3 linked regions of the Sus scrofa genome follow. The main gene of each other region encodes a partner of the protein of the gene in region 3 in a complex. Links are inferred from orthologs where the notes say so. Each region holds a gene or a part of one and is shown on either strand. Other genes may lie near its edges. The genes, in order: RORA, ESRRG and NRIP1.

The links.
Region 1: the proteins of NRIP1 (region 3) and RORA are in contact, whole or in part, in a crystal structure (PDB 4S15), measured with the Homo sapiens proteins. The link is inferred for Sus scrofa from reciprocal best matches to the Homo sapiens genes NRIP1 and RORA. Residues at the interface, in NP_001426204.1 of Homo sapiens: Thr499, Leu500, Leu501, Gln502, Leu504, Leu505, His507; in NP_599023.1 of Homo sapiens: Gln332, Val335, Lys339, Phe344, Met345, Gln349, Gln352, Ile353, Leu356, Pro505, Leu506, Glu509, Leu510.
Region 2: the proteins of NRIP1 (region 3) and ESRRG are in contact, whole or in part, in a crystal structure (PDB 2GPP), measured with the Homo sapiens proteins. The link is inferred for Sus scrofa from reciprocal best matches to the Homo sapiens genes NRIP1 and ESRRG. Residues at the interface, in NP_001426204.1 of Homo sapiens: Ser378, Leu379, Leu380, Leu381, Leu383, Leu384, Lys385, Ser386, Gln387; in NP_001429.2 of Homo sapiens: Val277, Ile280, Lys284, Phe289, Leu294, Gln297, Met298, Leu301, Gln302, Lys448, Leu449, Glu452, Met453.

The regions. Positions count from the first base shown.
Region 1 is NC_010443.5:111,456,247-111,461,015, forward strand, and holds part of RORA (nuclear receptor ROR-alpha), read left to right. Parts: intron 1-1,497; coding exon 1,498-1,893; intron 1,894-4,769. UniProt on the Homo sapiens protein: Nuclear receptor that binds DNA as a monomer to ROR response elements (RORE) containing a single core motif half-site 5'-AGGTCA-3' preceded by a short A-T-rich sequence.
Region 2 is NC_010452.4:7,028,370-7,033,722, forward strand, and holds the start of ESRRG (estrogen-related receptor gamma), read right to left. Parts: upstream 3,363-5,353; 5' UTR 1,563-3,362; coding exon 1,507-1,562; exon of another isoform or gene 1,252-1,506; intron 1-1,251. UniProt on the Homo sapiens protein: Orphan receptor that acts as a transcription activator in the absence of bound ligand. Binds specifically to an estrogen response element and activates reporter genes controlled by estrogen response elements.
Region 3 is NC_010455.5:179,825,216-179,829,982, reverse strand, and holds part of NRIP1 (nuclear receptor-interacting protein 1), read left to right. Parts: coding exon 1-2,576; 3' UTR 2,577-4,767. UniProt on the Homo sapiens protein: Modulates transcriptional activation by steroid receptors such as NR3C1, NR3C2 and ESR1. Also modulates transcriptional repression by nuclear hormone receptors.

The sequences.
Region 1 (4,769 bases), on a different chromosome or scaffold from region 3:
GTTAATGATAAGAAAAGAATTAAAACACAGTTCAGAGTCATAGCAGAACAAGTGTAATACCTATCGATTAATCAGGTATTAATTGATCCCCTAGGGAGTTCTAGAATATTCTTTTCAAAAAAATAAATAAAGTACCTTCAGTCTGCCTTGTGGAGATTTTGCATGTAAATGACAGCACCTGTCCTTAGGGGCTTAGAGTGAATTGGTGGCTTATACAATTCTAGGCCTGAAATTTAGAGTCCCCATCAGCATGAGTGCTGTCTTAATGAGCCCCACCCAAGTTTGTCACCTGAGTCGTGGAAACTGGAGATTGACCAGAATCCAGCTCTCACTTGTTTTCTCTTGTGCAAAAGGAAAGCACAACCTCTTTGGCAGGAAAGAATCCACCAGTTGGCCTGGATGGTGGGTCCTGATTCCCAGTTTCACGTCCATCCATCCTGCCTCCTTCCCTAAGACTGGTGGAATTATGATGGTGGTCAAATAGATGAATTCTTCCACCCAGTCAGGTGTAAATTTAACCATAGTCGATTAGGAATCTAAGTCCCTCCAGCAGAGGCTTTATCTGCATATACAGAGTCAGACTGAGAAATAAATGCGTTAGTGGGGAGTTCGGACCAAGAAGTCATAGGATTTTTTCCCCCCAATTACATAGGTGTTTCACGAAAAATCGTTTGGGATTCTGAATTAACTGGAAAGTCACTCCAGCTATTGGTCCACTTTAAATATGGGGACATCACAAGAAGGGCTGCAAACACAGATTCTCCCAGCAGGGATCTTCCAGTGTCTGCCCTTTCCAAAATTCTGATATTCTTTTCACTTGGGGCTAAACAAGTATACCAAAAATCATCCTTAAAGAGGGGTCCAAGGGTTTCACACAGACCTGAGGCATGGCCCAGGAGTGGGGTGGGGGAGACTCAGAGATGTAACTCAGAGAACTGCAAACACTTCATCCAGTCAGTTAAACTTTTTCAAGGAGGCCCCAGATTTGGTTGTTCGATCAGAAAGAAACTCATGCCACTGTACGGATTAGTGAAATTAATGCAAGATGAGGTTTGACTGCTTGTGACTCATTGTACCTCCATGAGTCTCTGCATCCCTGTGCACTGATCTGAACACCGTGAAGAGACAGAGGAGGTGGTCTAGGCCAGCTGCCTAGGTAGAGGGGGAATGAGCCCATTAAGTCTCATTTCAGTGGCTCCCACTGAGCGCAGGGTCATGTGACAGCACCAAGACCCTGGTCATTGCTCTGGGTTTCGTCTATCAGCCTTGGGTCTGTTTCTGAAATAGCCTCTCTGGGCTGTGTCTTTGCTGTTTGGGATGTGGCATGAGCCTGTGTGGGGCAGGACTGTTTTCACCCCTGGACCGTGTCCTTGTTTTGCGGCCCTTTGGTTTTGGATTGAGAGTGTCTGAGATTTCAAAGGAACTCCTAAAGCATGGCAGAGAGGAGAATGGAGAAAAGCGTATTGTATATGGTGTGGTGTGGCTTTTTTCTTCCAGCTGTAAAGTTTGGCCGCATGTCGAAAAAGCAGAGAGACAGCTTGTATGCAGAAGTACAGAAACACCGAATGCAGCAGCAGCAGCGCGACCACCAACAGCAGCCTGGAGAGGCTGAGCCGCTGACTCCCACCTACAACATCTCGGCCAATGGGCTGACGGAACTTCACGATGACCTCAGCAACTACATTGACGGCCACACCCCTGAGGGCAGCAAGGCAGACTCTGCCGTCAGCAGCTTCTACCTGGACATACAGCCTTCCCCGGACCAGTCAGGTCTTGATATCAATGGAATCAAACCAGAACCAATATGTGACTACACACCAGCATCAGGCTTCTTTCCCTACTGCTCTTTCACCAATGGAGAGACTTCCCCAACTGTGTCCATGGCAGAATTAGGTAACGGCTTCCATGTTTCCATTGGGATATATTCCTTGTGCCCATCAGAGTAAATGGGATATGTTTGACTTTCCGCTAAGGAGTTATGTTATTAAAATAATGCATCTAGGAGTTCCTGTCGTGGTGCAGCAGAAATGAATCTGACTAGGAACCATGAGGTTGCAGGTTTGATCCCTGGCCTTGCTCAGTGGGTTAAGGATCTGGTGTTGCCGTGAGTTGTGGTGTAGGTCGCAGACATGGCTTGGATCCATCGTTGCTGTGGCTGTGGTGTAGGCCAGTAGCTGTAGCTCTGATTCAACCCCTAGCCTGGAAACCTCCATATGCAGTGGGTGTGGCCCTAAAAAGCAAAAAATAAAATAAAATGAAATAGAAAAGTATCTAAAAAAATAAATAAATACCATAAAATGATGCATCTAGCAGGACAATTCAGCTTTACCTTTTGGACCACTTCGTAATTCCAGCCTGGCCCCTTGCTCTTTGCCTGTCCGCTGTTTCCCATTGTATATCCAAGAAGTTCATTGACCTCTCAGCGTCAAAGCTGGGACAAGATGAACTTAAAGCCATCTTTAAATTCCACCAAAAAATGTCTAAGCTCAGGGAATGGCCCCATTAACTTCACCTCTTTAAGTTATATTCTAGGTATTGCTTTATATACCAAAAGTCATGGAATGGCAACCCACAGACTCAAGCTGGTCCAAAGACATATTTCTCTGAGCTTTACAATTTTTGAACTGGTTGCTAAAGTACAGAGCTTTACAATTTTTAAATTGGTTGCTAAAGTTTTAAACCTGGACGCCTCCACCAGAAAGTTCAGATGTTCCGTTTCTTGTGGGAGGAAAGAAGAATGATCTGGTTACACTGGAGCAGTATTTGTGAATGGCAGCAACCAGCTGGTACCAGTTAGGTCCTAACCTTTTAAATGAACCCATCCCGCTGTCCCCATTTAGATCACTCCTCAGGCCCTGTTAGCATCTACGTTTTTCAACTCTGATGTGTTCCCTAAACTTTCAAGGAAAGTTGGCTTATTTGCCAAAATGTTTTCGTGATGTATATTAATGATGAAACAGATGTATGTCATGGAAGATCCACCTTGCCCCCCAAAACAAAACAAAACAAAACCCAACAACCCTGTCATTTCCTTATTCCTGTGACATTGGTGCTTCTCTGGAGATGTGACCTAGAAATGTTAACACAGACAATGGAAAACTTTTCATTTCAAGGAAGTTGTGTTAACATCCTCTGTTATATTTAATCGATTTTTAAGTGCAGCACTATTATTAGAGAAACTTTGATAAGGACCTTGGCTGTTTGAGAATTTGATCTGCTCCTCCCCATGATTCCTCATACAAGGTTATACTCCTTTGGGATATTTCAATTAGTTGCTGTGAAGATGACTAAGTTAAGACGAGGAGAGAATGGAGACTTCAGATGGAAAAGAACCAGCAGGTTCTGACTTGAGCACAGACACTCTTAGTTCACAGAGAGAACAGTTGTGTTCTTTAGATGGTTTCTCCACCTCTGTACCCCATAAAACATTTTTAAGTGAAATTTATATTTCCAGTAAAATCTTTCTCCAAATAGAACAAATTGAATGTTCTTTACGGTTTTTACACAAGCACCTCTTTATGGGTCTAAATTTAAATCCTCAAGAGCAGGGACATTTTAAGCCTGGTCTTTAACCACTGAACAGCATTAAAGGTGTATCACAGCTCTTTTGATTAACAGAGAAACCTCTGAACTAGAAGCCAAGCTGAGCAGAGGTGGGTTTGATTTTTTTTTTTTTTTTTTCTTGAACTAGAACAAAAACCTTCCGTTTTGGTCGTGAAATCTTGGTTGGCTAAGCCTTAAGCAGGGCTGTAATGAAAGTAAAATTTTCAGAAATGAATAAGGATATGATTGAAAGTTGACAGGCACTTGTGAAAAATGACCTGGCTCACTTTAGGCTTGCTTCTACTTTATCATAACTACTAGTGAATCTGCCTGTTTGCTTGTCATATGTTCAACCCAAAATAAACCCACACTGCTTGACCTAAGTGTGGCCCTTGAACATGGCACTTGGGCTGAATGTGTGCTGATTCCTGAGTGGAGCCAGAAATGGCTCAGCTTCTCCTTTCCCAGCAAACCTGTCAACTCCTGGAGGGTGTGGGGCCCTGTGCCCACATCTATTCTACATGTTCTCTTCAATTAGGGATTTTTCACATGTATTATGGCATTTTCCAGGATGAATAAAATTAACTGTTACTAAGATTTGTCCCAAACCCAAAACTAAAGAAGAATTTATCTGAAAAGGATGTAACAGGACTCTAATTTTCTGTCCCTTTTGCACGTGGAGGATAGTTTGAGGAGCTAAGAGTAGCATCAAAGTGACCAAAGGCTTTGCTGCTGCTTATCCAAAGTCTTTACTTCCCTGAAATTCCTCTGGGGCTTAAGTTCTGCTCTTTCTTTAATTTGACTTCATTTTAGGCTAAATTTTGTCATCCAATTTGAAACAAATGAAACCATTTGTATAATTGGAAAATAAATTGTGAGTTAACATAGCCTAAGCCCAATTAATTCTGTCTTTCAATAATAGCATCTACAATCCATTACTTTTAGTGGAAATATATCCGCATTCCTGGCTATGAAATTTTACCCTTGTTATACACTTAGCACCCAAATTATACATTCCAGATAAACTATCTAGGTTTATTTTTTTTAAGCGCTAATTGCACCTATTACTATAATCAGTAATTAAAGCCTTGTGCATGAGAGACAGCTGATGTACTGGGCAAAGCATGAGACAAGAAGTCAGTTTACATGGGTTGTGGTTGTAGCTTTGCTGTAGGTTATACAACCTAGTATAAGTCCTGTTATCCCTGCAAGCTGCAATCTCCCTA
Region 2 (5,353 bases), on a different chromosome or scaffold from region 3:
GTGATTAATGGCTCTGCCAGGCATTCCTATTTAAAAACCATGCCTACTTTATATCTTTTTTTCGGCTCCGTCCCTGATTTTCTCTGATCCTTATTTTTCTCCTCAGCAGAAATTACCCACTGTCAGAGTTGTCTCCCTCCACCAAAGCCTGTGACTTCACTCCACAGCGTTGCTGGGGGGATGTTTTTCTTAAGTAGATAATTGGCCTAGGAGCATCTAGCAGGTCTAAGTGGCCAGAAGGTTCTACCCAGGTTAATCATTGGCCGGGACTGCTCTTCCTCCTGCCCCCTATTCCAAATCCACATCTTTGAGAAGCAGAAAGAAGAAACGGCTACCAACCAGAGGAGACACTGCCTGGCACCAAGCAAAGCCCGAGTTTCCCTGTTCTGCTTGTAGACTGGATGTGTACATTGCATTTTCAAAATTATTCTGTCAGCCTGGGTGACAATTTCATTTATTTATTTATTTTTTATCCCATTTCTCCACTCTGTTGTTTGGGTAGCTATGTCCCATCAATTTCTCATGCGGGTGGAGCAGGGAAAGGCCTAACAACCCTGGGCTGCCAGCCAAGCTCACTGGTGACTGACGCTCCCCTAACTGAGCAAAGATTTGCTCTGCACAGAGCAGGGCTTGACTGTACAAGAACCAGTGGTGACAGCGAGGGTGCCGGCTGGAATCTTAACAAAGCTGCTGCGAAACGTGTGCTCAGGCGGGTGGAACCAGCACTTAAGCTGAATGTTAAGGGGCTTCAATCTCGGTGCCTTTTTTTTTTTCTCCCCATCATTTACCTTCTGAATAAACCCCGGGATTTTACAGGGAAAACAGCACATTAGCACACTTAAATCACAAATCCTTGGACCTTTTGAAAAGGCTGTTGAAGATTTATTAACTTGTAGGAGCAATCATTTAATTGCTTGCCTCTGCTACACCACATTTTTTTTTTTTTTAAATGACCAAATTAAACCTGCTGCACAAATTTGGGCTTTGAAGTTCCCGAAAAAGGATCATTCCTTTGAGGGAGTGCTAGAAGAAGAATTCAAAGGCTCTGATTTGGTACAAACGGCCAAACGCCCCCCCCACCCCACCCCACCTCCCCCAGCCCGGGTGCCCTCGTACACAGAAGGAAATCCTTCTCCTTTAAATGTTTCAGATTCATTTTCCAAGCCAGGTCTGCATGTCACCGTCATCTCTCCCTCTGTCATTTCAGCGACAGCCCAGAAGCATTTACAAGCGGAGGAACCTCATACTTACAATTTGGGGACGGGTAATGCAGCTGTGGAGCTTAGGAAAAGAAACACCTGTTCTGTTTACACACTGCTGTCCTTCCTGTTCAAAGACAACACCACTCGTGGGAAAGTTGGAGAAACTAGTGAGAAACAGAAAGTCCGTTCCACAGCGTGGGCAGGGGCAAACTACTCTTTGCATGGAGCAGTTAGCAGAGTCTCTGGCTGTTTGAGACTTTGTCCCTTAGGTCAAATGCAGCCCAAAGCCAACAAAATGATTTACCATCTCACCGCTTTCAATGTGATGAAACGCAACTGCCGCATCACATATTTAGACATTTCCCACTTCACATGTCAAAACAGTATAGATGCGAATAGGTGCACCAGCAACACGGCGGCCGATTTGCATGTTTGTTCAGTTGGCTAGCAATGTTCGGAAGTTGTGTGTGGACGGCTAGACAGCGTCAGAGTGACAGAGGTGGTGCATCTGGGTTTTTTAAGGGCTGGCTGCCTTTTCCCTGGGAAGGATTTCTGTTCCATTGCATCAGACGCCCCGTAACACGAGCTCATCAACCTGTGTGAGCATCAGAAGTCCAGCCGGTCACAAGTCCAATTCGCTTCGATGCCAATTGAGATTGACATGGGCTGTTGTCCTAAAGATCACACGGTCCCGTGTGGCTAAATTGGTGGTCTCGGGAAGAAACCAAGGTACAGTCTGTCAAATGGAAAAGGCATGTGCAGGCTTAAGTGTTCGGTTTCTACAATGACAGTTTGCTGAATCGCAGCGGATTAAAACACTGGTTTGTAATTGGGGGGAAAATCCTTTTTTTTTTTTTCCCTGTTATTTGATTCTGTTTGGGCTGCAGTCTTTTTGGTTTGTTTGTTTGAGTCCGATTTTTAAGGCCTGAGTGCCCGGCAAACGACAAGGGGCTGTGAGGTCGGGCCTCTCTTGGCAGGGACGTGTTTGGGTCCTGATGGTGGGAAGGTTGCCACGCCATCAAACCCAAACCGGGTGAACTGAGAGACCGTGCTTGGTTTCTCTGTGGGCCTGGGAACCTGGATGCTGCAATCGAAAGCCGGTGTATTCAGCATAACACATCCAACTACCGTTCACACCCAGCCTCCCGCAAGGCAGGCTCCTAACAGCTCTGTTTTCTGCCTACAGCCTGTGCACAAGAGTGGAACCGCCACACGCACTGCATGCTAAAGGCCGCCGCCTTTGTCTTCTCCAAGTTCTGTCTATTTCAGAGGCTAACATGCAGCAATTAGTCTAATTAATGTGAAACAATGAGCTGTGTTACCACTTATCAAATTGATTGTTCCCCTATCAAAACAAAACAGGCTGGCTTTTTGATGTAATTTCAAGAGATGATTTGAAATGTCATGTTGCTGCGAGCCAATTACCTTATGACTGGAGTCACGGTCAACAGAATACATAATTAGCATGAGTTTGGGAAGGCTGCTTACTGCTCCTATGTTAATTAACTGTCTTTTGTCATAAAACAAAAAGGTTGTACCGGAAGGTTTTGAAATAGGTCTTTTTTATTTACATTTCTTTGTGCTTATCAACGTGAGGCATGACAATGCAAAAGAATAGGAAATTTTAATTCCGCTACTTCAAATTAATACTCAGCTGCAAGGTCAGCCGTCCTGTGCAGACTGCCATACCATTCACTTCGCTCGCGTCTTGCCCCAGTGTATTATATTCCTCGCCGAGTTAAATTAAATATCGGCTAAAACTCAAATGTAAGAAATCCTAAGCTCCCGGAAACAAATCCCCTAATAGACAGCCTTCTTCGGAAGAGTTTCGCACGCTTTTATGCATCTTGTGAGGGCAGGACAGCCCTCGGCTGTCCTGGGAATTACATTCAGCTGTCGTCTTTCTATTTCAGTGTTGAAATTTGGAGAGAATAAGCCCATTCTCAAAGGATGCTATTGCCTTTACCTCACTGTGGTAGAGAGAGGATGCAGACAAGGCCCCGTGCACTTCTAGAGGGTGCCCATCTGTGCGTCCAGGGCTCCGAAACTCATCTGCAGCTTCCTCTCCTCTGGGAGACCCTGGCCATTGCACTTTTTTTTTGTTGTTGTTGCTCTTTAGGGCCATACCTGCGACATATGGAAGTTCCCAGGCTAGGAGTTGAATCAGGGCTACAGCTGCCAGCCTATAGCACAGCCACCACAGATCCAAGCCGCATCTGCAACCTACACCACAGCTCACGGCCACACTGGATCCTTAACCCACTGAGCGAGGCCAGGGATTGAACCTGAAACCTCATGGATCCTAGTTAGATTCGTTTTCTCTGTGCCATGACGGGAACTCCCTATCTCACATTCTTGATCAAGGAACTGCTTCTGTGTTTCCTGAGCTGGAATGCATTCTGGAGGTAGCTTTAATCAAGAACTGAGAATGCACAATCAAGTTCAGGGCAGCCTGGAGTCATGGTTTGACACGCATGTTAGCAAACCAGCCTTCAGTTTGGAGGACGGGTTGGAATTTTCCCCGCATTCGAATACTATCCTTCCATAGCCTAATGGCACGGTTTTACCTGCAAAGGCAGGGGCCTCTCTTGGAGAACCCACGATTTTTCTCTAAGAAATGCGTTGCCATTTTGTAAGTTTGAAAACTACCCCCCACCCACCACGAGATCGTTCAAGTCTTAAAGTCCTATTAGAATGGTTCTCAGGGGCCATAAAAATACAGCACTTTGCTGTTAGACACATTAAATGTGCTCCGCCAATCAGATTTTCTGTCCCAATTTGTTTCTATTTTTTGGCATAGTTTTTTTTTTTTTTTTCCTGTTTCTGACATCAGTAAAAACACTTCTAAAAGGAGTTCCCACTGTGGCAGTGGGTTAAGGATCCTACCTTGCCACAGCTATGGTGTAGGTCACAACTGCAGCTCGAATTCAGTCTTCGGCCTGGGAACCTCTATATGCGGTGGGTGTAGCCAAAAAAAAAAAAAAAAAAAAAAGCACCTTTAAATGTGGTATAGAAAATATTAAGTGGATGGGGTGCCGTGCTTTTCCTTTTGGGGTTGGGGTTTCTCGTTTTTGTGATACAGAATAAGGAACCTTGGGATGCAGGCAGTTGACAGGAAGGGGGGAGGCAGGCTGGCTGTGCCAGGTCAGGGAGGCAGTCAGTTTCTGATAAGCTCTTAACCTCTCCGCAGCAGCTTCTCTTCTTCCTGCCAATTTGCTAATTTAAACGTTTAGCCTTGAATTTTTTTTTTTTTTTTTTTTTTGCTTTTTAGGGCTGCACCCACGGCAAGTGAAAGTTTCAGGCTAGGGGCTAAATCGGAGCTATAGCTGCCAGCCTACGCTATAGCCACAGCAACACAGGATTCAAGCTGCATCTGCAACCTACACCACAGCTCACGGCAACACCGGATCCTTAACCCACCAAGCAAGGCCAGGGATCAAACCCACATTCTCATGGACGCTAGTTGGATTTGCTTCTGCTGCGCCACAACAGGTACTCCTATCCTTGAATTGCGATTCTAGTTTTCAAAAGGGGCAGCTGGGGAGAGGGAAGCAAAATGAGGACGGCCACCTGAGAAATTAAGCAAGGACAAGCGATCACCATCACCAAGTGCCTTCAAAGCACGAGGGCAGCGGAACCCCAGAATGGTCACGGAAGGGAATTCATTAATTTCATAGCTGGACCTGGAGTTTCTGCAGGGTTTGGCACATTCCTTCTTTGGAATCGAAAGGTTACAGAACCCTGGAGTGGAAGGACATCTTACGGAAATGCCCTCTCCCCAGCTCCCTCCAAGGGGAGTTCGTCCCACGCTGGCCCTGACCACTGAAATGAGATGCCTTTCAAGGAGGCGTTCTCTTTGGGGGAATTGACCAATATCCCAAAAGTTCTCAGATGCTCACGGATGAGCAAACGCAGAACGCCTGATGTTTGGCTGCTAGAACGGCTCTAAAGCTATCGCACAGCTCAGAGATAGCAGCGGTGTCACAGCCACTGGGCTGTGGGCACTTGAGGAATGACACAAAGTCCATGGAAAGGATATCTGAAAACCAGTCCCTCCTGCCCTAGAAATGTGGATGAGACGACACATCATCAGTGAGCCTAAAGTGAACAATCTGGAGACGAAATGTCAGGTTTGGTAACAACCAGGTGCA
Region 3 (4,767 bases):
CTGCTATGGCCAGATTACAGGAAAATGGCCAGAAGGATGTGGGCAGTTTCCAGGTCTCCAAAGGAGTGTCAGGCCATCTTAATGGCCAGGCAAGAACATCATCAAACAAATTAATGGCTAGCAAAAGTACAACATTTCAAAGTCCAATGGGTCTCGTTCCTTCTTCCCCCAAAAATGCAGGCTATAAGAATTCACTGGAAAGAAACAATATCAAACAAGCTGCTAATAATAGTTTGCTTTTACATCTTCTTAAAAGCCAGACCATACCTAAGCCAATGAACGGACACAGTCACAGTGAGAGAGGAAGCATTTTTGAGGAGAGCAGTACACCTACAACTATTGATGACTACTCAGATAACAATCCCAGTTTTACAGATGATAGCAGTGGTGATGAAAGCTCTTATTCCAACTGTGTGCCCATAGACTTGTCTTGCAAGCACCGAACCGAAAAGCCAGAACCTGACCAGCCTGTTTCTCTAGATAACTTAACTCAGTCCTTACTAAACACTTGGGATCCCAAAGTCCCCGAAGTAGATAACAAAGAAGATCAAGATACCTCAAAGAATTCTAGGCTAAATTCACACCAGAAAGTGACCCTTCTTCAGCTGCTCCTCGGCCATAAGAATGAAGAAAATGTAGAAAGAAACAACAGCCCTCAGGAAGTCCACAGTGATGTGACAAAGTTCAGCACACAGAACTATGCTCGGACCTCTGTCATTGAAAGCCCGGGTACCAACAGGACGACGCCAGTGAGCACTCCACCCCTACTTGCATCGGCCAAAGCCGAGTCTCCCATCAACCTTTCCCAGCATTCTTTGGTCATTAGATGGAATTCCCCACCGTATGCCTGTGGCCCTCCGTCTGAAAAGCCAACAAATGCCACCTCCAACCGCTTGATGGACCTTACAAAGAGCAAAGACTTGCAAGGAGAGAAACCAGTCCAAAACGAAGGTGCACAAAACTCTGCCACGTTCAGTGCCAGCAAGCTGTTAAAAAATTTAGCGCAGTGTGGCATGCAGTCTTCCATGTCAGGGGAAGAGCAGAGACCCAGTAAACAGCTGCTAAGCGTCAACACGGATAAACCTACAGGTGTGATGGAGAGACTCGGTAGCCCTCTGCTCGCAAATAAAACAAACCCAGCTGAAGAAAATAAAGCATTCGGCAGCCACTCAGCCGGCCCTGAGCCCGGACTTTCTGGTTCCGAAATAGAAAATCTGCTTGAAAGGCGCACTGTCCTCCAGTTGCTGCTGGGAAACTCCAACAAAGGGAAGATGGAGAAGAAAGAGAAGATTCCCTTAAGGGAGGGAAGTACTCAGGAACATACAGACCGAGCTTTAAGTGAACAAATATTGATGGTGAAAATAAAATCTGAGCCTTGCGACGACTTCCACGCGCACACCCCGGATGTGCACTCGAGCCCCGATGCTCAGGGCGCCCCATTCTTAGGGATGGCTCCTCCCGTGCAGAGAGGCGCAGCTGCCTTACCAGCTCCCGAGGACTTGAAATCGGAGCCCGCTTCACCTCAGGATTTTTCTTTCTCAAAGAACGGTCTGCTAAGTCGCTTGCTGAGACAAAATCAAGAGAGCTACCCGGCTGATGACCTGGACGGCAGTCACAGAAACAGTGAACTGACACTTTTGGAATCAAAGAATCTTTGCATGGTCCCTAAGAAAAGGAAGCTTTATACTGAGCCGTTAGAAAATCCATTTAAAAAGATGAAAAATAACATAGTCGATGCTGCAGGCAGTCACAGTGCTCCGGAGGTGCTGTATGGGTCCTTGCTTAACCAGCAAGAGCTGAAGCTTAGCAGAAATGAGCTTGACTTGAAATACCCTGGCAGTCATAGTTCACCCAGCGAAAGTGAACACAGGAGTTGGGCCAGAGAGAGCAAAAGCTTCAACGTTTTGAAACAGCTGCTTCTCTCAGAAAACTGTGTGAGAGATTTGTCCCAGCATCGGAGTAACTCTGTCGGTGACAGTAAAAAGAAAGGATGCAAAAACAGTGTGACCAACAGCAAGCCTGAATTCAGCATTTCTTCTTTAAATGGACTGATGTACAGTGCCGCTCAGCCCAGCAGTTGCATGGACAGCAGGACATTTCCATACCCAGGAGGAGTCAAAACTCCCCTGAGTCCTCCTTTCCCTGAGCACTTGGGCTGCACAGGGTCCAGACCAGAATCTGGGCTTGTGAACGGGTGTTCCATGCCCAGTGAGAAGAGACCCATTAAGTGGGTTATCACAGACGCGGAAAAGAATGAGTATGAAAAAGACTCTCCAAGACTGACCAAAACTAACCCAATACTGTATTACATGCTCCAGAAAGGAGGCAATTCTGTTACCAGTCGAGAAACACAAGACAAGGACGTTTGGAGGGAGCCTTCCTCTGCTGAAAACATCTCACAGGTTACAATCAAAGAAGAGTTACTCCCTGCTGCAGAAACTAAAGCTTCTTTCTTTAATTTAAGAAGCCCTTATAATAGCCATATGGGAAATAATGCCTCTCGCCCACACAGCGCAAATGGAGAAGTTTATGGACTTCTGGGAAACATGCTAACAATAAAAAAGGAATCAGAATAAAATGTACCTGCCGTCCATCTTTGGATCTTTTTAAAAACTAAATGAGTTTGAACTTGAGATCTGTATAAATAAGCGCATGATTTGAGAAAAGCATGGTATAATTGAAACTTTCTCATTTTGAAAAGTCTTGGTTCCTGGTGATGTTTAAATATGCATACTACTTTTTGCTTTACGTTAGATGTCATGAGGAAGCTGCTGAACTAGCCAGTGGTTGTTTAACACTTTGTATGCATCAGACAACAACTGTGAGTAGCCTATGAATGATATCCTTTTTTTAATCACAGATAACAGGCATACATTAAAATGTAAATCTTCATCCACAGTGGATTAATGCATTGCTGCCTTTATTAGGGTATTTTATTTTGCTTTTCAGAAGTCAGCCTACACAACACATTTTTTTTTAAGGCCAATTTATTAAATAATAACTCTTTAAAGATAATTGTTGAACCTAGTTCAATTAAAAAACCTAGTTCGGATTTATTTCTCAATTCAGTTCAAACATAAATTAGGAAAAATATGCTTACATTTTTCACTTTTGCTAAAGAAAAAATTATTTTTAACTCTTGGAAGGGGTTTTATGATTCCCTAATGTGTCTGCTCCACCCCAGTCCTTTTCAATACACTATATTTCTTTAAACCTTGTACTACTTAGTAAAAAATTGATTACAATTGATGGAAGTTTGATAGATCTTAAAAAAAGGCAGATTTCCATTTTTGTATTTTAACTACTTTACTAAATTAATATTCCTCCTTTTGCAGAATTAGGAGAGTTAGCATTTATCTTCAGGTGGTTTCCTGAATAGTAGAAATAAGTTGTTTTTAACAGAAGCAAAATGGCTTTTCTTTGGACAGTTTTCACCATCTCTTATAAAAGCTACTTCTCACCATTTCTGTGGTACCTGTGAGTCTTGTGACCAGGGTTTCTTAATAAAGCTGGACTCAGACTACCTGCGTTAGAATCATCTGGAGCACTAGTTTTAAAATGCAGATTCCTAGGCAGCATCTCAGATCTACACAGAACAAGAATCTCTGCTAAGTGGACCTGGGAATCTTCCTTCTGCATCTTAACACACTCCCTAGGTGTTTCTTCTGCACTCTGAAATTTGAAAACCATTGCCTGACTTTTCTCAGAACACAGGATTGTAAACAAACTATTTGATGCCTATATTTTCCCCAGTATAGTCACACATCAACTCAAAATTTGCAATATTGTACTTCGTATATTACTGTTATGTCTTTGGAAATCGGGTTCAGAATACTTTTTATGACAAAAAAAAAAATTGGGTGAAGGGGACAACTTTCATACCTGGCTCAACATCTCAGGAAAATCTGTGATTATTTATGTGTTCTAATGAGTAACATCTACTTAATTAGCCTTAGGGATGGACTAACAGGGCCACTTACCAAACTCAGGTGATTCCAGGATGGTTTGGAAACTCCTCCCGAATACATCCTTAACTTCTATTAAAATCCTTGTCCTCAGAACAGTGCTGACAAAGATGAAAACATTTATTTCAAACCCAAGAAAGACACTAAACTCAACTAAACAAACAAATACAGAGGGCACATATACATGACAGAATTATACACAGTCACTCCATCGGATCTGTGATTTTGAAATAGTGATTAAAAATAACCATTGGTTTTTCTTGGAAAAACTTAATATGCTATTGAGCCACATGATGTTTTTATGTTGAAACAAGATCAAGTTTTTCAGTTCAGTTTTTACAATCCACAGTTCATTCACCAGATGTTTTTGGTTTTAACTGTAAACCAGGTTAGCAACTGACCTATCAAAAAATTGTTGTATAATCAACTATTAATTAGAAGGAAATCTATTTGAAATTGTTCTACTTGAAGTTGTTTCTAAGATTTTTATATTGAAAATGGGTGTTATTTCCTAATATGATCTAAAACCCGGAATCATTATTTTTTCTCAAAATGATTTGTAAATAGTGACTGGACATATTATAAAATAATAGGAGTGAATATCATGCTACATCCTGAAGAGATGAAGGCATATGCTGATTTTGAAATGAAAATTCCACTGGCCAGTGAAGAAATTCACCTCCCTCTCATCTTTACTCTGTGACAATCTTACTGTCTACACTAAATAAAGAAGCTTTTAAACAAGGCATTTTTTTTTTTTTTCTGCCATTGTGAAAGGTCTGGAGTCTTAGGAATATCCTAG